Oryzias latipes: one gene and its partners. The protein of the gene in region 2 interacts with the protein of the main gene of each other region in a biochemical or structural test. Links are inferred from orthologs where the notes say so. Each region holds a gene or a part of one and is shown on either strand. Other genes may lie near its edges.

Region 1 (4,518 bases), on a different chromosome or scaffold from region 2:
CAAACCGTGTGCATGCACTGAAAAGAAAGTAAACTATAATTATTGTTCATTTCCTAAGCATTTTTTTATTAATTAAATAAAAACAACTAAACTGCAAATTATCTGACATTTTTTTTATTATTCCAGATTACAAATTAGTTTTTTTCTTTTTTCAAATCTCTCCTGTAGTTCAAATATTTTTCAATTCTTTCATAAATAAATCTTGGACAGATAATGTTGCAACATTGGCACAAATTTCGTTTTCCTTGATTAGATTTTAAATTTTGGAAGCGGGCCGCTCCACGGAAACTAGAGATTAAAAGTTGGCAAAGAAGAACTGAAAACATGGCAGCATTATCTAGAATGGCGAAAAACATTCCAAATATTTACACAAGTCTGATCACTTGCAGTAAAGTGAATCTAAAGACTTCAGTAATGCCAAATGCTCAAACAGGAGCTCCGATTTGATCAATAAAAGAAAAGTTTCTGAAGTTTTTTAAACCCATATTCCGATTTTATCTTGCTGCTGGATTTTTTTTATTATGAAGGCAGATTTGCCTGAAAGTTTGATTTCAAAGTAAAGATCAGAGGAAGGTTTGGGTGTTGATTTTTAATCTGAATGGTTTGGATTAAAGCTTTAAATCTCCCTGGCCAAAATCTGGAGTCCATCCTGACGCCTGTCTGCGCTCAAATAAAACACACACTTGTAATAAACCTGAACAGATGAAAAAGGTAATAAATAGATGAAACTAAGAGTGGGGCATCTTGTCTTTATTTTTCTGCTCTCGCATGTTGACCTGTTGCATTCAGGTCAGGTCGGACTTTAAAAACCTGTAAACGAAACAGTTGGAAATGCTGCAACATGTGCATTACAATTCTGAATGAACGAGGGGTATAATTGTCGTACTTTGTGAAGGTGGTCCGTCACGAAAATGAGGTCAATTATTCTAAGAGGCGTGCTAAAGCCATTTTTGGTGATTTGCTGGATACGTTTGCTTCCCAACCAGTCATTTTTTGCTGTTTCCTGGTGTTGCTGTCATCAATTTTATTCTAGGAAAAATGCAAAATGATCCATATCATCATCAAGACTACTTGTTTCCCACTTGACCCCAACATGTCTTGAAAATTGGGCTGTTTGTTCAAGAAAGAGTCCGGACAGGAACGAGGAGGAGGGCTTTTGTTCCCCCCTTCAGCAGTCGAGCATGCTCATGTTTATTCTAACATATAAGAAGATCATATCTTGATAAAATCAGCTTTATTTTAGCCCCCCCCCCCATTTTTATGTTAATATTATTCAAATCTAATTTTCCTGGAAGAATTTCAAGTCCATTTTTCTTTCCTAGTAATTCAAGTACACACAAAAAAAACTTTAAAGTGTAAATACTATTTTTTTCCAGAAATCTATGGCATCAGCAATTTGGCTTTAGTGGAAATGTTTTGCCACTTCCCCTTTGACCAAACCTTTTTTTTTGTGTTTATTATCTTTTTTTCCTCTTTTTCTGCATTTAAAATCCCCATTAATTTCCTTATTTGGAATTGATTGTGTAATTGTTGGCTGTCAGATTGAGATTTGACCCCCTGCTTTGTTTGCTGTGTTATGGTGACCTGGCACTTAAACACACCATGGTTATTGATTTGGCTGCATCTTTAATTTGTTTATCCTTTTTCAAACCTTTCCACTGGTTCCACCGAAGCTGCCCGTCTCGCTGCTAGATGCCTGTCAGGCAGGCAGAGAGGAAGCAGCCCGTGTTGCGCAGCACATCTGAGGATGATTCATGAGTAAGAGGTGAGTGGTGTCTCATGCTTGATTTTGCAGTTCTTCTTTTCTTTTTTTTCTTTTTTAAGCCTTTTTGTTTCAAAGCATCCCTGCTTTTATTTACCCAGTAATTAGGTTGAGTGCAGTCTTGGTTGTGTTTTGGCCATCTCACCACTAACGCCGCATCCTCTGCTAATAAAAGCTGATTATTCAGAGTCGCTCTGTTGGTTTGTAGTTTCTGGAAACCACACGACAGCCGGGGAAAGCTTTGCTTTAGACAAACGAGGTGGAAGGAGACAGGGAAGTTTAGGAATAACTATTCCCTGACATTCCTTTCTTTTCCTCTCTCTCCCACTTGTGACTCCCACACTTGAGTGTAAACATATTGGAGGAAATACTGAGAGACAAAACCAGCAGATTGGGAGGAGTCCTTTTCGTTATTTTTGGTGAGCTGAAGCTTTAGGGAGACGAGGAAAAAGGATCTTCTGGTCCCTCCAAGTAGTCTGACAGGCATTAATAGAAAGATGAGCCCCACACAGAGAGAAAGGGAAGACTAAAAAGAGAGAGGGAGAGGAGAACTCCACTCCCCCTCCCAGCAAATGGGAGAACAAGTCTAAATCATGCTTCTTATCGCCGCTGTTGTGCTGTGATGTTGCTCAGACAGAGCTCGGTGCAGATCAGGCAGCTGTTCGGACCAGCACTCAGATCCAGGATCAGCCCAGCCTCCTCAGAGCTGGAGACCCTCTCCCCACCTCGCCTCTCGCCCCGTGACCCCCTCGGTGACATGTACCCTGAAGAGAGCCGGGGTTCTGGAGGGGTGGCTGCTGTGGACTTTTTGGAAGGGACGTACGACTATGCCGCCCCCAACCCTGCCACGACTCCCCTTTACAGCCAGTCCAGCACCGGCTACTACTCTGCTCCCCTGGAAACAAACGGACCCCCCTCAGAAGGCAGTCTGCAGTCCCTGGGCAGTGGGCCGACGAGCCCTCTGGTGTTTGTGCCCTCCAGCCCCAGACTCAGTCCCTTTATGCATCCACCCAGCCACCACTATCTGGAAACCACTTCCACGCCCGTTTACAGGTAAGTGAGGGCAGTTTAGCTCCGAATGAGTCATGAAAGTGGACAAATGAGGGGGAGAGGTCTGTGTTTCAGCCTCTGCTGATTCATCCAACTGTTTGTTTAGGCAGACTGAGTTAAAAGGAAGTACTGAATTCCAAAAAATGATTATTATTTTGCTTTGTTTAATTACAAAAATCAAGGAGTTTGGGTGTTTTTCACCCACTGTCACACATGAGGAGCAGCCTTGGCGGAAAACTAGATATTTTACAATTTATGGCAATGACATTTAAAGTTGAGTCTTCCAAGTGCTTTTATAAACAAAACATTATTACATAATGACACAACCTTTTAATCTTCCACTTTATACAAAACACACAACTTTATCTTTTCGTAAAGGATCAAGCTTGGTCCTGCTTTCTAAATCCAGAGATTAAGGACTTTGTCAGAGACCTTGAGAGAGGAACAATACGTAAGAACAACAGAGGCTCACATGAATTTTGTTTTTCTGGTTCCGGTGGAAAACACAAGTCTGTTTTTGCACTTTCATATTTTTAGTCAGAATGTTCTTGATCATCTTTTGGCAAATTCTGTCCTTTATTAGCACCACAGAACCAGAAATGGTCAGATTAAGATTCACAACCTGTTGCAGATCCAGCCACCAGGGAGCCTCCAGGGAGGACCAGTGCGGCTCCCGGGAGGACACGTGCAGCCTGGGGGAGTTAGGCGCCGGAGCCGGGGCTGGGGGGTTTGAGATGGCCAAAGACACGCGTTTCTGCGCCGTGTGCAGCGACTACGCCTCTGGGTACCACTATGGGGTGTGGTCTTGTGAGGGCTGCAAGGCCTTCTTCAAGAGGAGCATCCAGGGTAGGAAGCCACACTAAAAAGTCTTCTGGATTTAGAAAACTGTCAAAAATGTCAAATCAGTCTGATCTGAAAAATTCTCAATTATACTTTGATAATCATCATAAATTGTGATATCGTAGAAATGACTAGTCTTAAATCAAAAGAATTGATGAGCGCACATTTAAGCCTTTGTGGTTAGTTTTTGGATCACAACAGTTGAAGAGAAAAGCTCCATCTGCTTGATGGTTCAGTCATGTTCACGATATAATTGTGTAATGAAGGATCAGTCAGAAGGTTACAAAATGTTTCCATGGCAATAGAAAAGCTAAGATGCCACATTTTCATCTTCTCCTCCCCAGATTCTTTTATCAGTGTTCCTGGCTACTAAATAACCTAAATCTAAACTGAACATTGGACTTGAAGGCTGAAAGTAATATATTTTTCTCCATTTCAGGTCACAATGACTATATGTGCCCAGCGACCAATCAGTGCACTATTGACAGAAATCGGAGGAAGAGCTGCCAGGCTTGTCGTCTTAGGAAGTGTTACGAAGTGGGAATGATGAAAGGCGGTGAGCACTAACTTCACCTGACAAGAGATTTTCCCGCCTCAGCTTTTTTGTTCCCATCATTTACCATTTTCTACATGAAAGCGGCCCTCAATATTTGTTTTTCTGCAACGCACACTCCGCAAGGGTGCAGATAAACTTGAACTTTAGCACGTCCCTGAAGATATTTACATCTCAGAAGTACAACTAATTATTACACATCCTGTTTGTTTTGGTGCCTCTCAGATAAGGGCATCTAAGTGTGCGGATGAAAATGCATGGATTTGTGTCTGGCTTGGTTTGTTTACATCTGCCAGGGCGTCAGTGTTGTTTT
Region 2 (3,751 bases):
TTTAACACCCACTTCATGCTTCCAAGCCTGATTTCTCTTTATTAAAATGTGATTACTAACCTGTGAAAAGTGATTCCTCTCGATCGGTTTATTTTCTTGTCATCATTTTTGCAGTTGATTGTAAAACATTGCGTCCCCATTTGTGATTCTTTGCGTGGCTGTTTGGAGCTCGAGTCTATGCATTCAAGACTGAATGCATAGACTATTCCAAAGTGTATGGAGAAAGGGAGTTCCAGCAGCTTGTTTTCATTTGAGTGAGCTACAGAACAAGTCTCAAACAATATTGCTTTAAAACTTATGTCCAGATTAAAAGCAAATAATTTATCCTAAGGCATTTGAGTTTGAGCCGGGTAAGATTGAAAAAATACAGTGTGTCCCAAGTACCGGGTTTAGAAACACAACCTTAAATGACTCACAGGACACAGCACTTCTATATTTGTCCAAGGTTTGTTGGGCAAGTATTCAACCTATTGACCCAAAGCAACTGTGATTTGAGATTTTGTTGAATTTCATGTCAAGAGTTCGTCATTTTTAACCAGTCTGTTTCTTTTTATTTGTGGAATTTCAAAGGGTTCTTATATCATCCAAAATCAACTTTTTTGAGCTTTAAGTGTATTGTAATTTTCATTCCTCACTGTAAACAACCCCAAAGGGGTATTTTGATCCATTCATGCATTTCTGAGCATTCCTCTAAAAACCTGTGCTCTGAGCACCAGCCCCTCCCAACCCACAACAACGAGTGGGTCCTCACATTGTGACGTCTCAAAGTGAGGAACAGCCCCTTCCAGAGTCTGCGCTGCAGCCCCAACCCCAGGGTAACACACATCCACTTTCTCTAGCTTATTCTGTTTCTATGCACATTCATCTTTGCAAAAGTTCGGATATTGTTTGTTTTCGAGGGAAAAACGCAGACACGCTGCTGTGGCTGACTCTAAGTTGACATCATGAAACGGGCGGACCCACCAGGAGAGAAAGCCGGTGCCTCAGAGATCGAGTCATTCTACTTCCGGGTATGAAATGAATTGTGAAAATAACTCATATTTCATAATAAAAACGTTCTTTAGGGCCAAAAGAATATATATCACATATATGGATATAGTTCACTCTGGAAGGCTCAATAAAAGCATGATGAAGGCCCCTTAAAAATAGTTTAGAGTAGCTTCTTTTTTATTTCTCTTTTAGTTTAAAAGCCAATACGTAGAATTTTCTCAAAATTTTCTCCCATATTGTCTAGTTTTACCACTGACTGAAATGACACTGTACTTTTGAGGATTTAAGTCAGGGGTCAATGCCCTCTTTGTGCCCTGGCCTTGTTCCAGTTTCACAGGTGTGATCTGGCAGGTGTAGTGACACAGTGTGGGTTGGATTACCACTGCAGTCCTTGGTAGCTTGGTACAGCCTGGGTTAATGACACTTGCTGGCAGATAAGGCCCATCCTTTTTGATATGTGTTACTCCAGCAGCTACTTTCATTGAGAAAATCTTATCAGTTTCCCAGGGTTGTTCCAGCAGTCACCTGGCAAAGCGAGCGGTTGTTTTTCACATCGAGTGTATTGACATTTCAAGGTCCACTGAACGGAGGGGGGTTGGCCCTATAAATATAGAAGAGGCAGCAGCACCACTCAGGAGCTCATGAGGAGTCTATCTGTGAGAGGACGCACGCATTCATCACCATTATATGTCATCGGGGGGAAAAAGATGGATAGCAGATGCCATTGCTTAACCAACAATGATAGGGTTTTGAATCCCATCCTCTACAACATCCTGAGCCAAATGGACAGCAGCATGCAGAGCCAAGACTGCCTCAACTACATCTCAGTGCCTCACAGGTGCAACTGCGAGGTGCGCCGGACACTGTGCTTAAAAAGTCCAAGTGAGATCTGCAAAGAAGCCTCAGCAGTTCTGGTTAAAACCGTCCACTTCATTAAGAGCCTGCCTGCGTTCAACCAGCTGCCACTGAGTGATCAGTTTGCGCTGTTGAGAAGCTGCTGGGCTCCCCTCTTTATTCTGGGGCTGGCTCAAGAACATGTGGACTTTGAGGTTACAGATGCCCCCGCTGACAGCATGCTGAAAAAGATTCTTCTGAACCGCCAGGAGAGCCCCGAGGCTAAAAGGGAGCAGCCCACCATGGCAGGCGTCAGCAAACTCAAGTCTTGCCTCAAAAAGTTTTGGAGTTTGGATTTAAGCCCAAAGGAGTATGCATACCTGAAGGGAACCACGATATTCAATCCAGGTACGAAGGTGCTGGATTCAGTAAAAGGATGAAGTATGTGTGTGTGCGTTAACTGACTTTACTCGTTTTCCTCGTCCACAGACGTTCCGGAATTAAAGGCTGGATTGTTTGTGGAGGGCTTGCAGCAGGAAGCTCAGCACGCCCTGAGGGAGGTGGTGCAGCTCCTTCACCCGGGTCGCGAGGAGCGCTTCGCTCGAATCCTGCTCACAGCTTCCATGCTGCAGGGCATCACACCCACCCTCGTCACCGAGCTCTTCTTCCGGCCCGTCATAGGCCAGGCTGACCTGCTGGAGCTGCTGGTCGACATGCTCTTTTACAGATAAGAACAGTGGACCTCAGCTGAGGGACTTTAAACCACATGACACCCAGGCTGGGAAAGGAATGTTGGACGGCTGCTGTGAAGCAGATTATAAAACCCCACAAAAAAAATGTAGATTTGATGAACAAGCCACCATGATTGCTCACATTCACGCAAAGCTGAGGTCACTTTATCTCTGTGTCAACAGATTTCCTTCCCCTAAGTAGAAGGATTTTCACACAGTGGCAGACTTGTCTCTTTCTATTAGAATATTTGATTTTGTCAATCTTTTCTGTTATTTCATTGTTGTAAATATGTGTCTTTTGCTTTTACAGGAAACTTCAAATAAATATATTTTTGTACACAAATGACAAATTACAGCCTCACGCTCTTGACTCACACCAAGCCAATGCCACTGTCACACTTAATCTGACAAATTCAGCTGTTAAACGCATATTATTGAGTCAAGATGTTGCTAAACTCAGATTGACAAATTTCTTAGTTGCAGTTGGATCTTGTTGGTGAACGTGGATATTTATCCACAAGAGCTCTTTCTTTTTCAAAAATGATGACAGGAATGTGTCACAGAATAATATTTCTTGTTCATTCCGAAGCTTTGTCTCCCTCTATTGGAAAACACATCCACAAGCAAATAAAAAGAAAGATCCTCGATCCCATTTCAACCTTATTTTACAATCTTATGATACGCTGAGAAGAAAAGGGTAAATCCAAGCCAACAAAGCAGTATTGTCTTAACAATCTTCATGCAAAAATCCCCACAGAAGCTGTTCACATTCATCCATTCTGTGGTATGATGGTTGTGAAACAGTCTCTCTTTACTTGACACCATATACAGGTAAAACAGGAATGCTGATGGTGGGGGCAGTGAGCCAGGGGAAATGGGGTAACACAGCACAAACAAAACATTTAAAAAAAAAAAAAAAAAAAGAGCTGGTGGTGGAAAATCTCCACTTTTTTCCTGCGTTTCCATCTTTTTAATTGAAGTCTTATCCCTTCAAGACTGTGTGAGAGGGATTGCCTTTTATAGTAGTTTCTCAAGCTGAACTACAACTGTTTATTCTGTTCCAGCAATTATAAAACAGACCCTGAGCAAATACATGTAGCAGCATTTTGCATTATACTTTCACTGATAAATATTTGTTTGGCCAAACAGATTTAGGACGGGTTCTCGGAAGATCGTTTTCTGCACCATTTCTTCCT
Region 3 (2,837 bases), on a different chromosome or scaffold from region 2:
TAAATATGATATGGAAAGCTTAAATATCATCACAACCAGCATCTTTACTGTGACGGATTCCTGCAGCTGAACTGTTCTTTCCTTCACCTGTGATGAAAGCGTTCAGCTCAGCGGTCTTTGTGCTTAAAGCACAAATAAAGTAGATTTTTAGAAGTTGTGTTTGTTGTGTTAAAAGTTCTATCTAATCACTGGATGATTGTGGAATAAAGTCTATGACACGTGAGATCTGAGTCCTGCTGTCATTTGATGTCGCCCTCTGGTGGATGAGGAGCAGAGCTGCAGTTTATCCCTCGTGCTATCCTAGGCACTTTAACATTGGGAGTTGGGTCATCTAGACCCACTAGACAGTGCGCTGAACCTTTTTTCTTCAATGATTTGTGATCTTCACTGGTGTCCATGGATTACATGAAATCTTTCCACCTTTATCCACCTTTGTCATGGTAGGGAGAACACGTCAATGTAAGGGTGGGGTCATCTAAGATAACACAAGGGTTATGAGTTTGGAATAAATGAGCATCAGTCCAGAAATAAAAGCTAAAAACATTTATTTAAAAAAAAACAAAACACAAAAACCACATTGAAAAAAACCAGATGAACAAAGTGTTTTCCAAATCCTTAACTGTCCACAACGATCGTCTCTCAGAAATCCTCCAGCCTTAAATTTCAACGTCGCTCTCTTTGTCGTTGTCATGGTCGCCGTCGTAGAATTCATTCGCTGCCTCTTGTCTGAAAGTGCATCGATAAACATTTATGACTCAATCCTGCAGGTGAAACAGGAAGGCCTTTTTTGTCTTCCTACTGACCGGGTGTAGTTCTCCTCAGCTCCCCTCTCGTCTGGGTCGGGGTCGTCTGTGCGTTCGTAGCTCAGCATGTCTGACGGGACGTCGTGGATCTGGACGCTGGGCGCGTGGTTCAACATCTTCAGGTTTTCAAACACGGTCTGACGGATCTGTTCCAGATACTGCACCGACGTTCACGGGTTATTTCAACGGATCCACGTGTGTTAAAGGAAAACTCATTCCCTCCAAAAGATTAAGCTACTGAAACAGGTTGGAATGTCTTTCATTTTTAGGAAGATGATGGCTTTTTCTGGTCTGGATGGTTCAAACTGTTCTACACATGCACACACCTGATTCAGCAGTTCCTAAAATGGCACCTGAGGAAGGGGCGGAGTTACCTGTCTGGAGTTCTGGTTTTCGATCCTGGTGCTGACATCAGGATGCAGCGTGAAGTCTGGGGCAAAGTACTCGAAATATTCTGCCGACATCAGGAGAAAAAGGTTCTCTGGTTACAGGATACAGAAACAGATTTAAACTCTCCTGTACTATTTACTGATCTATCTTTATGTCGGCGTCAAAAAGAAGCTGTTATACTGTTGGCCTAAATAACCTCAGAGACTGTCTGCAAAAAATGTGACATAAAAATGGTCTACTTTGTCTCAATAAAAACAACACTCATCTACTCTGTCATCCACATTTCAATCTGACCAACCTGAAGGCAAAAAGATCACAAAAAGATGAAAATGACATTTTTATCAGCAGTTATTCTTGTCAGAAGCAGAATTTAAGGAATCTGGAGGTGCAGCGATTCTGTTTATTACAGAAAAATCAAACTAGACGACCTGTAGAGCAGATCTATAGAAATACCTGCACTGAACATCCATATGACCACTGTAGGACACGCAACATGGATCTAATCTACTATTTTACTTATCAGTAGTGACCAGTGGGACTAAACTTTGACCACAAATCTAACCTGAAGATCCAAGGATTTTCCAACATGCAGGGGTTGACATAGCCCAGAAATTTGCACTGGCCCAGAGGGCCAGTAGCTTTTGAAACTTACTGGCCCTGACTGAGAGTTACTGGCCCGACATCGTGCACAGCGGGACCCGCCGCTCCGCAGGTGCTTGCAACTTAAGGGGGGTCCGGGGGCATGCCCCCCCGGAAAATTTTAATATGGTGCATTCTGGTGACATCTAGCACTTATTTATACACTTTTTCAATGACTAAAAATAGAGCATATCAAACTTAAATCTGCTCTAGTCTGTTTCAGATGTTTTGAAGAGAGCGCTGCAGTGTAGTAAGTAACACTAGTTCAGAAGTTTTCATGCTGCTTCTAATCACTGCTATTTCACATTTGTTCCTAATCAATAGTTAAGAAGTTTTATTTACTTTTTTGCTCTGACTGCCTTGAGGTTTTGCTTTTTGTTACTGTTGCAAAGTTACATTTACTTTTTAGTTACTTTAGTTACTTAATTAAATTAAATAATTGAAAAATTCAATAAAATTAAATTACTGAGATCATTCAGCTAACTAGAAATACTTACTGCTTACAGTGTTGTAAAGAAAAACAAAATTGAGTACTTTGAAGTTATACTGCATTTGAGTCTGAGATTCAGGTATTTGGAGTCTTTGCTTTTGATTCTTTGACATTCAGCTTAAAGCTTAGTGGATACAGTTTCATCTTCAATGCCTTCATTAAATATCTTGCTGTCCATAGCACTAATTCCACCCGTCACTCCATCTAACATATTCCTATCTATTCCTGCCATGTCTTCCACATCTCTGACATGCTTCAGTCTCTCTTCAGTGACGGTGTTGGATTTATGATCATCGCGGTGAAAAACCACCAGGGGGCGCGCTGATATGTGTGTCAGTTTAAATATATCTGCCTAAAATGTAATAATAACCCACTGGCTTGTTCCTTCGTTGTTGCTGTTTAACATTGTTTAGTATTGAATTGTTACATTCAATAAAGTTTGAAAAAAAAAATTGAGTGAGCGCGTGCGGCGTGGTGCTCGGCAGCGACAGCCGCGCCCGCAGGCGGGAGAGGAG
Region 4 (4,488 bases), on a different chromosome or scaffold from region 2:
GTTTTCTGTTAGATAGCTCAGCTTTAATTAATGAGTCAAACAGGACAAGGATTATCAACCAAAAAAATAATTTAAAAAAAAAGTCAAAAACAGAATCACGGAAAAAAAAGAAAGCACCTCGGTGATGAAAATGCCCAGGCTATATCCAAATCGCAAAGTCTTGAAATGGTACGGTGTAACTCAGACAGAGCTGTGCTGTCAACAAATGCATGCAAACCTCAGTGAAACAACAAAGCATTGCTGCAGAAAAGTGTGAACCAACACTCCATAACACGCAAAGGAAACTGTTACACACATTTCAATAAAAAATGACTGGCTGTCACTACTAAAATGTTTTTAGGTTTTTCTAGCAAAAACTTTTTATCTCTGAAACGGACTCCGTTTGTTTTGTATTTCAGGCCAAAACCCCAAGAACTAATAAGACAATAATTAAACTGCAATGCTACAATTTAAGCACTGCGTTCTTCAAAAATGTGTTTGTATAACTTAACTATTATGCTAATACAATATCTAATATCTGTAAATCTATTCTGCTAATATTTATTATTCCGATATTGTAAACATATTTACTTGCCATAACTGTACAACAATGTCAGCATTTCGAAACAAATTTGGTCCAAGTGTAAACTGTGTTTACACCTCTTGTTAGAATGCATTTTTCCCACCAGATGTCAATTTAATGCAAAAAGTGCAAGAGAACATTTCTTTGATGTTGCTTTCATTGTGACTCACCTCACATGACAAGTGTTGTGTGATCAAAGAAACAATGTTGATAGACACGTAGGACTATACAGGGTTTACGCTATAGCAACGGTAATATGAGATATCATACTTTAGGCGTGTTTATATTAATTTGTTCGTGGAAGTTGAATTTTTTGTGTTGCATTTCTTTGCGGTTATTAAAATAAAATATTCTTCAAACTGAATCTTAAACTTAAGATGTTAACGTCTGATTATTATGTCAAATATCAACAAAGATTGACTTAAATTTAAGTGGAAATTCTTAGTACCAAAATTATAAAACCTGTTTTAATCCCTTTATACTTAAACTTTAACAGTGAAAACACCAAACATCCATATTTTCCCATTGAAAAGCTGTTTTGAAACACAACTAGTAACAAAAATGTTTTCTCTGTCTGTTTGTGTCTACAGCTTTGATTAATGTCAATGTCTGTGCAAGTCTACTGCCAAAATTTTGCTGTATGTTGACAGTATATGACGAAATGTTTGGACACGAAGTTAATAATTACACCCAATTTAGAGAGAGAAAAAACACGACCTGAAGGCTAAACTTTAAAGGGCTGCGTTTTCTGATAAAACAAAATCAAAGGTTTCTTTAAAAAAAATGCTCTGAATACAAGAATCTCTGAAATCTGGTGAACAAAAGGTGGTTAATTGTTTGTGGGTCAATCTAAAGTGTGCCTTTCTCTTTTATTGAAATGTTTATGTAGAAACAAATGACCTTTTCTTCATTTGAGCTTTTTCTGTAAAGCTTTTTCACACTTTTTCTTCTTAAGAAAACCAAAGCAAAAGCAGAAAACATCTGTGGAAAATTCAAACCAACACAAAGTAAGTATTTTTCAGTAAGAATATTTGTAAAAAGCTAACCCTAACCTTCAACCAAGATAAAATTTAGTCAGCATGTATGTCTTTTAGTAACAGTAAAATGTCTTTGAGAGCACATGAAGGACAAAAATATAATCCAGAACAGTATCTTGAGGCACTCCTTCCATTTACGGTCCAGAGTAAAGTCCAGCTCTTTCTCAGTCATTCACACACACATCTAAACACACTTCACTTTAGGAATTACATAACTTGATAAGTAAATAATTCAATGATGGATGAAAGGATCAACACACTCAGATTCACAGAGACACTCAAAGGTGTCGCTGCAGAGATTTTGAACCGATCTAGTTGCGACGGATCAATTACCAAAGTCCATTTGGAGATGAAATGATCTGAAACTCTGCAGTTGAAGTAATTTGATAAATAAGTAAATAAAGTACAAACATTAAACGGTGACATAACATTAATCTGGTCCATTATGTTGTCATTTCTATTTCTCCACCAAAGATCCATTCATCATGTCAATGTCGACCGCCATCTTTTTCTCACAGAGAGCTAACAGGTTGTGTTTCCTCGGAGTTTATCGACTGCAACAAGAAGGCTGTGTTATAGTATTAGGAGACAATATTTGCTGATGACTGCCACTGACACAAACAAGTACATCACGTTATTTAGGATTTTAAATAAATCCAGATAATAGCAACGTTATTAACTATCAGAAACTCTGAAAATAGTCAAATTGTCTTCACAAAAAACAAAAGTTACAGTTCCAGTGTAGGAAAACAATACTTTCTATTTGCTAAAAGACGTTGAAAATATTTGATCATTTGGATACGATGCGACGAAAAACCCATCTTTGCTCATAACACAAAAAAATGAAAAATTGATGTGTTAGAGCTAAAAAAGCTGGGACCAAAGAGCAGAAAACCCTTAAAGACAAAATCAGCATTTGTCCCTGAGTCTGTTGACCACATATGTGCTGAGTCACGGCCATTATACTCCAAAGCGTTCAAAACTACAGGACAGCTTCAAGGTTGAGTAATACGCGCTGCGTGACACAGGAGGGATGACATAGGTTTATAAACGACACATGAGGAGCCACTGTCATGCATATATGTTTATGTTGAGTGGGAAACTCTCACTGCTGATCACTGCAAAAACAAGAAGAAGAAAAAATAAAATGTCTGCACTCACCTGAGTAGCTGTGACCACTTAGATTGTTGAAATCTCTGCCTGGTGTTTGCATGTCAGACTTCCACTCACACTGTGGCCCACAGACACACTCTGGACCCACACCTTGCTTTGTGTCACTTGTCAGTCCTGTGACCGCACCCCCATCCCCGTCATCACCCCCCCCCCCCCCCAATCTGCACTGGCTTTCCCAACTTTAAAGAAAAAAGTGCCCATCATTACCTCCACCTCTGTCAGATCTCACCATGATTAGGGAATTTATTTATTTTTTAAACTTTATAATTGCTAATAATATTAAATCACGATTAGGGCTGATATTGTCAGATCTATAAAGCAGAAACAAATGATTGATAACCGCGAACAGTCTTGATGATTGATGTTTTTTTTTTAATTACACAAGCCACTGCAGTGCCACAAACAGAAGCAGCTGAACTGACCTGATCAATGCGCCGAACCTCTCCTGACGCTGTGGATCTGTTTGGCTGAGGCGGCGTCGGCACCAGGCGCACAGCAGCGCCGCGTCTGAGCTTGAGTCCGGCGGCGCTCATGCTGCCGCAGGGGGAGGCTGAGGCGGCGGTGCGCCTGCCTCCCTGCTCTCTCCCCTCCCTCCCTCCCTCCGCTCAGCACAGCCAGCCCGCCGGGAACGAGGGGAAGCAGACGAAGGCATCAGATTACTCCTAAAAACTTCAATTTACGCCATTGAAACTTTTCATTGAACCAAACTGTCCTACATCCCACACAGGTAATAGTCATTCATATACCTTTTCCCCCTTTAAAGTTACTAATATTTAGTAGTACACTTAAACAAACTACTGTTTCTAAGGGACGTCATTTGTAGCCATCTAAATATAATTTTGTTGCTTAAAATTACTTTCTTTTATAAAAATGTCTACATGCTTCCTCAAGCATTCAAATGAAACACTTATTGAAGTAATTAGTGTAGTTCACCCTTAGCAAATAGTGTACTGCAAGAATACTAAGTCTATACTGAACTGAGGCAGTACTTACAAAGTTTACTTTTCACATACTATCTTTATATTGTAAAGATAAACTGTTCCAATGTAGTGTGAAGAAATAATCCATTAGTATATTTCATACACTACACTACACATACATGGACTATAAAGTAAACTTGTATACATTATAGTATACATGCTATACTTATACTCAAGTATATTTCAGTTGTTTTACTTTTTACTAAGGTCAGTAGTGCAGCTTTGATGGGATTCAGTCCAAATGTTCCACACCCCTTTAGCAAAAGTATACACTTGAAGTGTATTCTATCAAGTATTGAGTATAAGTATAGAAAGTATACTATAGACCATGTATTTGTAGTGTAGGAAGTATACCAACAGGATCTTTCTTCTGACTAATTTGAATTTTTGATATATATATATATATATATATATATATATATATATATATATATATATATATATATATATATATATATATATATATATATATATATATATATATATATATATATATATATATATATATATATATATATATATATATATATATAGAAAACGTATACTGTCTCACTTTTTGTATAAAGACTAAGTATACAGTACACTTAGTACACTAAAATATAATTTTGCTAAGGGACCCTTTTATTAAACTTATGATCTTTTTAAAATTTGAAATTGTAATCTTAGACTAGCAATTAAAGAACTTTGTGGTATTTCTTTAGACGTGATGGATATACATTAGTAAGGTCAATATGGT
Region 5 (3,923 bases), on a different chromosome or scaffold from region 2:
ACTGGCTGACGCTGAAACAGTGAAACTATGAAACAGGCTGACGCTAAAACAGTGAAACTATGAAACAGGCTGACGCTGAAACTGTGTAACTATGAAACAGGTGGACGTTGAAACAATGTTACTATGAAACAAGCTGACGCTGAAACAGTGTAACTATGAAACAGGCTGACGCTGAAACAGTGTAACTAAACAGGCTGACGCTGAAACAGTGAAACTATGAAACAGGCTGACACTGAAACAGTGAAACTATGAAACAGGCTGATGCTGAAACAGTCTAACTATTAAACAGGCTGACGCTGAAACAGTGTAAAAATGAAACAGGCTGACGCTGAATCAGTGTAACTATGAAACAGGCTGACGCTGAAACAGTGAAACTATGAAACTGGCTGACGCTGAAACAGTGTTACTATGAAACAGGCTGACGCTGAAACAGTTTAGCTATGAAACAGTCTGACGCTGAAACAGTGAAACTATGAAACAGGCTGACGCTGAAACAGTGTAACTATGAAACCGGCTGATGCTGAATCAGTTTAAATATGAAACAGGCTGACGCTGAAACAGTGTAACAATGAAACAGGCTGACGCTGAAACAGTGTTACTATGAAACAGGCTGACGCTGAAAGAGTGTAACTATGAAACAGGCTGACACTGAAACAGTGTAACAATGAAACAAGCTGACGCCGAAACAGTGTAACTATGAAACAGGCTGATGCTGAATCAGTCTAACTATTAAACAGGCTGACGCTGAAACAGTGTAACAATGAAACAGGATGACGCTGAAACAGTGTTACTATGAAACAGGCTGACACTGAAACAGTGTAACAATGAAACAAGCTGACGCCGAAACAGTGTAACTATGAAACAGGCTTACGCTGAAACAATGTTACTATGAAACAGGCTGACGCTGAAACAGTTTAACTATGAAACAGGCTGATGCTGAAACAGTGTTACTATAAAACAGGCTGACGCTGAAACAGTGTTACTATGAAACAGGCGGACGCTGAAACAGTGTAACTATGAAACAGGCTGATGCTGAAACAGTCTAACTATGAAACACGCTGACGCTAAAGCAGGCTGACACTGAAACAGTGTTACTATGAAACAGGCTGACGCTGAAACAGTGAAACTATGAAACAGGCTGACGCTGAAACAGTGTTACTATGAAACAGGCGGACGCTGAAACAGTGTAACTATGAAACAGGCTGATGCTGAAACAGTCTAACTATGAAACACGCTGACGCTAAAGCAGGCTGACACTGAAACAGTGTTACTATGAAACAGGCTGACGCTGAAACAGTGTAACTATGAAACAGGCTGATGCTGAAACAGGGTAAAGAAGTCTTGTAGAATCAGAATTCTGAAGTCAGTCTTAACTTGAGGTGTGCTTTGCTGAAGCTGAGGCAGGACGTGGTGGCGTGCATGAGGCGGGACACCACCCTGGAGACGGCGCTCAACTCGAAAGCTTACCGACGCAGCAAGCGGCAGACTCTGAGGGAGGCCCGCATGACGGAGAAGCTGGAGAAGCAGCAGAAGCTGGAGCAGGAGAAGAAGCGCAGGCAGAAACACCAGGTGATCGACGCTGGCGTGCACCGGCCCGTGGCCGCCACGAGCTCCTGGGTTTGTCACCTTCATGATGCGCTTTGTGTTCTTTCAGGAATACCTCAACAGCATTCTGCAGCATGCCAAGGACTTCAAAGAGTATCACCGCTCGGTTTCCGGCAAAATCCAGAAAATCACCAGATCCGTTGCCACGTGGCACACTAACACGGAGCGGGAGCAGAAGAAGGAGACGGAGAGGATCGAGAAGGAGAGGATGAGGAGGCTGATGGTGAGGAGTCATGTGGACTTCAGTCCATGTCAGAAACGGAAACCTTGTTTGCATGGCGGCCATCTTTGTTTGAAAGAATCCATGATCAAAGCGATGTTCTGTTGGAAGAGACACGCCCACTGTGGAAAGCTTTCATTCAGCGTGAAGTTCAGTCTGTGATGGAAATGAGGCTGGAAAAGCAAAGATTATTGCTCTGTAACTGTTCCACTGAGGAGAAGCCATGAAACAAACAAGGAAGAGAGGAATAGAAGACAATTACGAAAAGAGTTTCTCATGAGGGTTCAGCCTGATACCGTTCTGACCTTCTGTTGCTGTCTCTTCCAGGCTGAGGATGAGGAGGGGTACAGAAAACTGATTGATCAGAAGAAAGACAAGCGTCTGGCCTACCTGCTGCAGCAGACGGATGAATATGTGGCCAACCTCACTGCTCTGGTTTACGAGCATAAGGCTGCTCAGGCTGCCAAGGAGAAGAAGAGGAAGAAGAAGAGAAAGAAGGTATGACGAAGAGGCTCACGTTGGTCCCTCACTGTATGTTTCTGTTGCAGGTGGACGCCCTGCTGGTGTTCAGATCTTTGAATTCTTTCCCCGCTTGTTGCAGCAGAGCCCCCGACTTTCAGTACTAAAAGCAAAACATCATCTGGATATATTTCCTCTAGTTTTGTCAGGAAACCCCCAACGCGCTCTCTGGTTTCTATGAAGCTCAGCTTTCAGTCGTTCATATTTTTAAATCAAAGTTTGTTTGCTTGCTCTTAAAAAGGTGAATCTTTGATGTGATCAAACTGCTGATGTCTGTGTGGTCTGTGCAGAAGGTGGACGGAGACGGTGAAGGCACCAGCGCCTTTGGACTGGATGGAGAGGTGTGCTGCTAATGCTTCTTTTCTGCATGGGGGGGTTGAAAATAGCGTCAGGAAAGCAGCGTTTCTCCTTCCAGACGGCGTCTCAGCCCCAGAGGAGGCCATGATGGCACCTTTTAGGAAGACCAGTGCCTCCCTGTGATCTAAGATTCAGGCGTTAAAATGTGGGGTTGGGGAAAACCAGAGGAGGAGGAGGGCTTTGGAGATGAAGGCTCCTCTTTTTTACCTCCTTTTCTTGTCTTGCAGCCCATTGATGAGAGCAGCCAAATGAGCGAGCTTCCTGTCAAAGTGATTCAGACCGAGACCGGGAAGGTCCTACAGGGAACCGACGCCCCCAAGTCCAGCCAGCTGGAGGCTTGGCTGGAGATGAACCCTGGGTGAGACGCTCCACCACTGCAGCTGTAATGATCCAAAATCCCACCCGCCCCCTGCAGAGAAGATTCAGGGGGGTTCTGCTGGCGGGTTTCTGTTAAAAACACGGCTCCTTCAGTCAAAGGAAAAACATTTTGTCTTTGTTTAACCGCACTCGCACAGTTTGAATCTGTCAGCCGCAGGATTTCTCCTGGATAGGAAACCTTCACGGTTCAGTGTTCCCTCGTTTATCGTGGGAGTTACATTCTATACATAACCCACCGTCGGATGGATTCGTTTTTATTTTTACAATAATTCTAGATGTTTTAAGGCTGTTGAACTTATCATTACACTTTTTTCAGACAGACATGAACATTTTCATACTTTTCTCTCTTGTTTAAACTGTCAAACGGCCGGTATTAGAATGAAAACAGAGATCTGATCAAAATTGAAGATTTATGTAGATTTGGAAAAGTGAAAAAGTCTGTACAGGAGACTAATTAACACTAGCCAATGGAAACACTGCACTGTAAAAAAAAACATGTAAAAACTGTAAAAAAAAAAAATCCACGAGACTGCAAAAGGTGAACCGTTATAAAGCAAAGGGAACGCCATTTTCCTGCATTTGATCTTACTTTTGACCTGAAGCTCTTTGTCTTATACCATCGTCTGGATAAATTCTCGATTCTGATTGGCTGCTGTGTTTGCATTAAAAAATGATAATCCACAGTGATATCACCTAAAAAAGTAGTTCCGGTCACAAAGCTTAAATGCTTCTTTAAAACAAACTTTTTCTTCATCTACAGAGAAAAAACTGACAAAGACTTAAAATAATGTTTAGAACAATCTCCTTTTAGAGTCACAACGACACTAAAATGAGCTCCACATGA
Region 6 (3,923 bases), on a different chromosome or scaffold from region 2:
ATTTGGTTCATTCTGTAATTTTTCTAAATAAAAGCAATGTTTTCAACTTCAAGGAAAGTGGCAGAGTTGTTTTCATATCTCCTACCTGGGATGTGCTTGGCCCACCCGATGTTGACCACCAGCTCTCTGTCCGCCAGGTCACACAGCGTAGTCAGGGCCTTGATGTCGCTGTCTGGTACTGTTGGGTCAGGCATGGCATAAATCTTCTCTGGCTCAGCCACCAGCAGGTGAGAGACAATTTTGTTATCTGCAAGGCAGCCAAAGGCAACTGACATGAACACCAGACAAGGAGAAAGACAAGAGACAGAGAGATGGTGAATACGTTGCCTGTTTGAGCTACAAGCTGCACCACAAGTCTGGTGTTAACCTGTGAGTGGTCATAAACAAAACTTTGTTACACACACATTTAATGTTAGTTCTCACAGTCAAGAAACAGCACACCAAGAACAAGAAACTAGAAAAGTGTGAGAATACTGAGGAAGTATTGTTCAAGCACACATTAAACTAAGAAAGAACGATTTTTCTCCATCTTTCTTCAAAGGGTTGATTGAAGAACCTTTAAACCCACATTTAAAATTCGCACCAACATTTATTGCTGAAAGTATTTGTTTTCTCAGTGCCTGAAGATGTTAAAACGCTTCGTACAGAAGAGGACGATATGACTGAAAGCTAAACAGCTCAGCTGTTAGTGGTGACATGTGGTGATGAGACCTCTATGGCCCATTAGCAACAGACTGATATCCTGCTTCCAAATTAATCCAAAGACTAATCAAGCATGGGAATGGTTGACGGAGGATAGAAGAGCAAGAGATGAGTAAAGGGCTAAAAAGAAAGAGGGGGAGAGATTAGCCTTGAAAAAAAAATGGAAGAAGACAGACAGGTAGAAATACAGCCATGAGCAGATTGCAAAAGACAGACAGGATGAGTCCAAAGAGCGACAGCCAGATAGAGATAAACAGCAAGAGAGAGTGAAAGAGTTGTGAGGATGAGTTCTGTATTGATCTAACACTGTCCACCACCCCCCACTTCTCTTACATCCACAAGGCTGTGTGGTATACAAATGTTCGTATGTATCCACACACACAGTTCGTTCAGCTCCAGGGTCATTTCAGCCCCATGAATCCAAGTCACACTGCAGTATCTGTGGGTAAATCTTATTTAATGTTTCCCTAATTAGAATCAATGGAAGCCCATTTCCAAACCCTGGGCTATTGTTCTGTTCGCACACAATCAATGTGGATGCTGAGGCTGGGGATTGGGCTCTGTGAGGGTGTCTGAGGGATGCAGAGGAACAGGAAAAGGTTGTGTGTATTGACTGTGTGACAAGAAAATAAGTTCACATGTGTTTATAGTTTTTTATAGTTTTTCGTTGTTGTTTCTTTGCAGACTTATTGTTAGTTATTAAAAAAAAGAAATACGGAAAATACTCACAGATCAAGTATTTAGATTTGTTGTACTTTCCTGAAACAGCAAAAACTTTGCACAGCTGGACAATCAAGTTGGGTAAATTGAAAATGATGAAGAAAATTGATCTACAGTGGAATTATTCAGTGAACAATGGTATAAGTGCAAATATTGCCCACACATTCACATTATCCCATAATTTTTAATGATTAGTAGTCGCAGTAAGCTGTTGTGTACCCATTCATGGCTTTGGCCTAAAGCAGAATATGTTCCAGCTTTAAGCAAAATGGGCTTTGGGGACCAGGCTGTTAAACGCTGCTCAATCTTCAGTGCATGTGTGCGTATGTGTTTCGTGTGCGAGCAGACGGTTAGCTAGAGAGCTAACCCTAGTTTGATGTGGTTGCCAGATTGGATTTAATCCGGATTAGGGTTGTGGCTGGTCTGCCTCTCTCCTCTCTCAGTTTGAGAAATGTCCTCGTTTAGGTTTTATTCTACACCCGTTTCTCTGTCATTTGCACATGGTCTCTTCCTCGTTAATTTTTCAATCACTAGACCCATGGCCACAGTTTTATTATTTAGAAAAGACGAAAAAAAAAACAAAATAATGAATCCAGGCAGAGCTAAATGAAAGCCTTTATGGGGAAATATTAAACACATAAAATGTTATGATTCCAAACTGGTAGCAGCAGAAACAAGGAAATAAACATAGTCCCAACAGATGGCCTTCCCAGTAACATGTCTATTTATGTGTGGCTGAGTCTGTGTGTCGGTTAAAATCCTTTTAGTGACCAACTGTCTCCAGTTGGATGGAAACTGATGCTTGTCTGGTAGTGTTAGTGTATGATCTGGGATACAATACTGGATGAGTTTGCACATCAGTCTGTGATCTATATGAGCCTATGAGCCTATGGGTGTGGTGTGTGCGTGTGTGTTCTTACATGGCTTCTTGGGAGGTAAAGCCAGCTGTGGGTTCAGGTAGGGGCTGTTGTCAGCATCTATCCGGCGTTTATATTTTTGTCTTCCACCTCGAACCCTGTCCAGCCGAACTCCTGTAAGAAATCATAGAGGGATGACGTATGAATGGAAAGACAAGTCAGCAAGCATGTTTCAAAAACTTCAGTCTTGGACTTGTTCAGAAACCAAAAAAAAAACCCCATAAAACAAGAAAACTGACCTGAAAGAACAGATCAGATGAGAAAAGTATGAATTCAACAAAAGGAAATAAAGCAGTGTTTTTTTGTTATTGACTTACTTTTATGTTAGATTCATGGTTCCTAAACTCAATCAGCTCCATTGTTTTGCAAAAGCTCTTGCAACAGCTGAGTAAGAAGACTATAACTTTGTCTCTCAGGCTTACGCTTATGCCGTCTCTTGCCCAATCTCCCCCTCTGCCTCATTAATTAATTGACATAAAGGAGTGGTAATTGAATTAGGCCAATCTCTCTAGGGATTGGATGTTACCGTGGTTACCACTTAAAGGTGGATAAGAAAGACAAAGGTGTCATGCACCTTGGATGAGGAGAAGAGAAGAGTGGAGGAGATAGGAGAGGAAAGAAAATGAGAGCATGGCTCCGGGGTACTCAAATGATTCAAACTGCTCTTCGTTCTTTTAGTATACACACCAGTGGTAGGTAGAAAGAAAAGTTTGAGAGCAAAAGGCTGAAACTGATCCTGGGGTTGGAAAAGTGACACTCAGGATGTGGCTTTCAAAATGCAGTGGCGGAGCTACAGAGTAGCATGGGGGGCAGCTGCCACCCCAGCACCCCCCTCCCCCCTACACACAGACACACACTTGACACCCCAATTTTTGAGTCAACACTGAAAAAGACCCCTTTATGCTGACAGAGGCCTTCTCACCTCAAAATGATTTAGCTCAAATGCACACAACATACCATCTGTATTCCTCCACTCCCGGTCAATTGACTTTCAATATATATCTAAGAACCTTTTTCAAACATTAGTTTCTTCTAGGAAAGACCAGAAGCGGCGCACCATCCAGTTCTTGTTTGCAATGTCCATGCTCACTATTTTTTTTCAAACAGCAAAAATCACGTCACCAAATTCACAAAGTGAAAATCTAAGGCTATGTCCGAATTCCTTCACTTCTCACTACATAGTGCACTATATAGTGCGTTCGCCATTTTGTAGTGCTGTCCGAATCTACAATTCCAAAATCGAGTGCCCTAGAAATTTCCCAGAAGTCTCTGCAAAAAACCTTTCCACAAATGCATGATTCTATATCCCAATGTTTTTACTGAGATGGGGGTAAAGCAGAGTGCATGTGAAGCACCGTTTTCTTTTTACACTTACACATGGAGGACATTAAAAAGGAAAAAAAAAAACAATGAAATCAACTGACAGCTTGGCTCTTTCAGGGATTTAAAGCTTTAGAATAATATATTTTACTCAAAAGGCTGAAAAATACTATAAATTTGATTAAAAGTAAAAGTCGGCATTCATTTTGTGATTTAGTTTTGCACATTCATATGATTGTTGGTGACTCGTAAATTTTACAATAT

What was found.
Region 1: the proteins of nr0b2 (region 2) and esr1 form a complex in vitro, tested with the Homo sapiens proteins (2 studies listed by BioGRID). The link is inferred for Oryzias latipes from reciprocal best matches to the Homo sapiens genes NR0B2 and ESR1.
Region 3: the proteins of nr0b2 (region 2) and hdac3 form a complex in vitro, tested with the Homo sapiens proteins (2 studies listed by BioGRID). The link is inferred for Oryzias latipes from reciprocal best matches to the Homo sapiens genes NR0B2 and HDAC3.
Region 4: the proteins of nr0b2 (region 2) and pparg form a complex in vitro, tested with the Homo sapiens proteins (2 studies listed by BioGRID, with this or other methods). The link is inferred for Oryzias latipes from reciprocal best matches to the Homo sapiens genes NR0B2 and PPARG.
Region 5: the proteins of nr0b2 (region 2) and probable global transcription activator SNF2L2 form a complex in vitro, tested with the Homo sapiens proteins (2 studies listed by BioGRID). The link is inferred for Oryzias latipes from reciprocal best matches to the Homo sapiens genes NR0B2 and SMARCA2.
Region 6: the proteins of nr0b2 (region 2) and estrogen-related receptor gamma type 1 form a complex in vitro, tested with the Homo sapiens proteins (2 studies listed by BioGRID). The link is inferred for Oryzias latipes from reciprocal best matches to the Homo sapiens genes NR0B2 and ESRRG.

What each region holds. Positions count from the first base shown.
Region 1 is NC_019882.2:8,940,806-8,945,323, forward strand, and holds the start of esr1 (estrogen receptor), read left to right. Parts: upstream 1-1,650; 5' UTR 1,651-1,754; coding exon 1,755-1,765; intron 1,766-2,395; coding exon 2,396-2,815; intron 2,816-3,443; coding exon 3,444-3,658; intron 3,659-4,091; coding exon 4,092-4,208; intron 4,209-4,518.
Region 2 is NC_019874.2:9,914,639-9,918,389, forward strand, and holds nr0b2 (nuclear receptor subfamily 0 group B member 2), read left to right. Parts: upstream 1-1,629; 5' UTR 1,630-1,631; coding exon 1,632-2,232; intron 2,233-2,313; coding exon 2,314-2,555; 3' UTR 2,556-3,202; downstream 3,203-3,751. UniProt on the Homo sapiens protein: Transcriptional regulator that acts as a negative regulator of receptor-dependent signaling pathways. Specifically inhibits transactivation of the nuclear receptor with which it interacts.
Region 3 is NC_019868.2:25,317,701-25,320,537, forward strand, and holds the end of hdac3 (histone deacetylase 3), read right to left. Parts: intron 1,258-2,837; coding exon 1,178-1,257; intron 962-1,177; coding exon 804-961; intron 727-803; coding exon 657-726; 3' UTR 529-656; downstream 1-528. UniProt on the Homo sapiens protein: Histone deacetylase that catalyzes the deacetylation of lysine residues on the N-terminal part of the core histones (H2A, H2B, H3 and H4), and some other non-histone substrates.
Region 4 is NC_019863.2:9,244,801-9,249,288, forward strand, and holds the start of pparg (peroxisome proliferator-activated receptor gamma), read right to left. Parts: upstream 2,882-4,488; 5' UTR 2,813-2,881; coding exon 2,761-2,812; intron 1-2,760. UniProt on the Homo sapiens protein: Nuclear receptor that binds peroxisome proliferators such as hypolipidemic drugs and fatty acids.
Region 5 is NC_019867.2:1,047,527-1,051,449, reverse strand, and holds part of probable global transcription activator SNF2L2, read left to right. Parts: intron 1-1,395; coding exon 1,396-1,569; intron 1,570-1,654; coding exon 1,655-1,828; intron 1,829-2,152; coding exon 2,153-2,323; intron 2,324-2,634; coding exon 2,635-2,685; intron 2,686-2,928; coding exon 2,929-3,059; intron 3,060-3,923. UniProt on the Homo sapiens protein: ATPase involved in transcriptional activation and repression of select genes by chromatin remodeling (alteration of DNA-nucleosome topology).
Region 6 is NC_019861.2:25,271,120-25,275,042, forward strand, and holds part of estrogen-related receptor gamma type 1, read right to left. Parts: intron 2,454-3,923; coding exon 2,343-2,453; intron 269-2,342; coding exon 86-268; intron 1-85. UniProt on the Homo sapiens protein: Orphan receptor that acts as a transcription activator in the absence of bound ligand. Binds specifically to an estrogen response element and activates reporter genes controlled by estrogen response elements.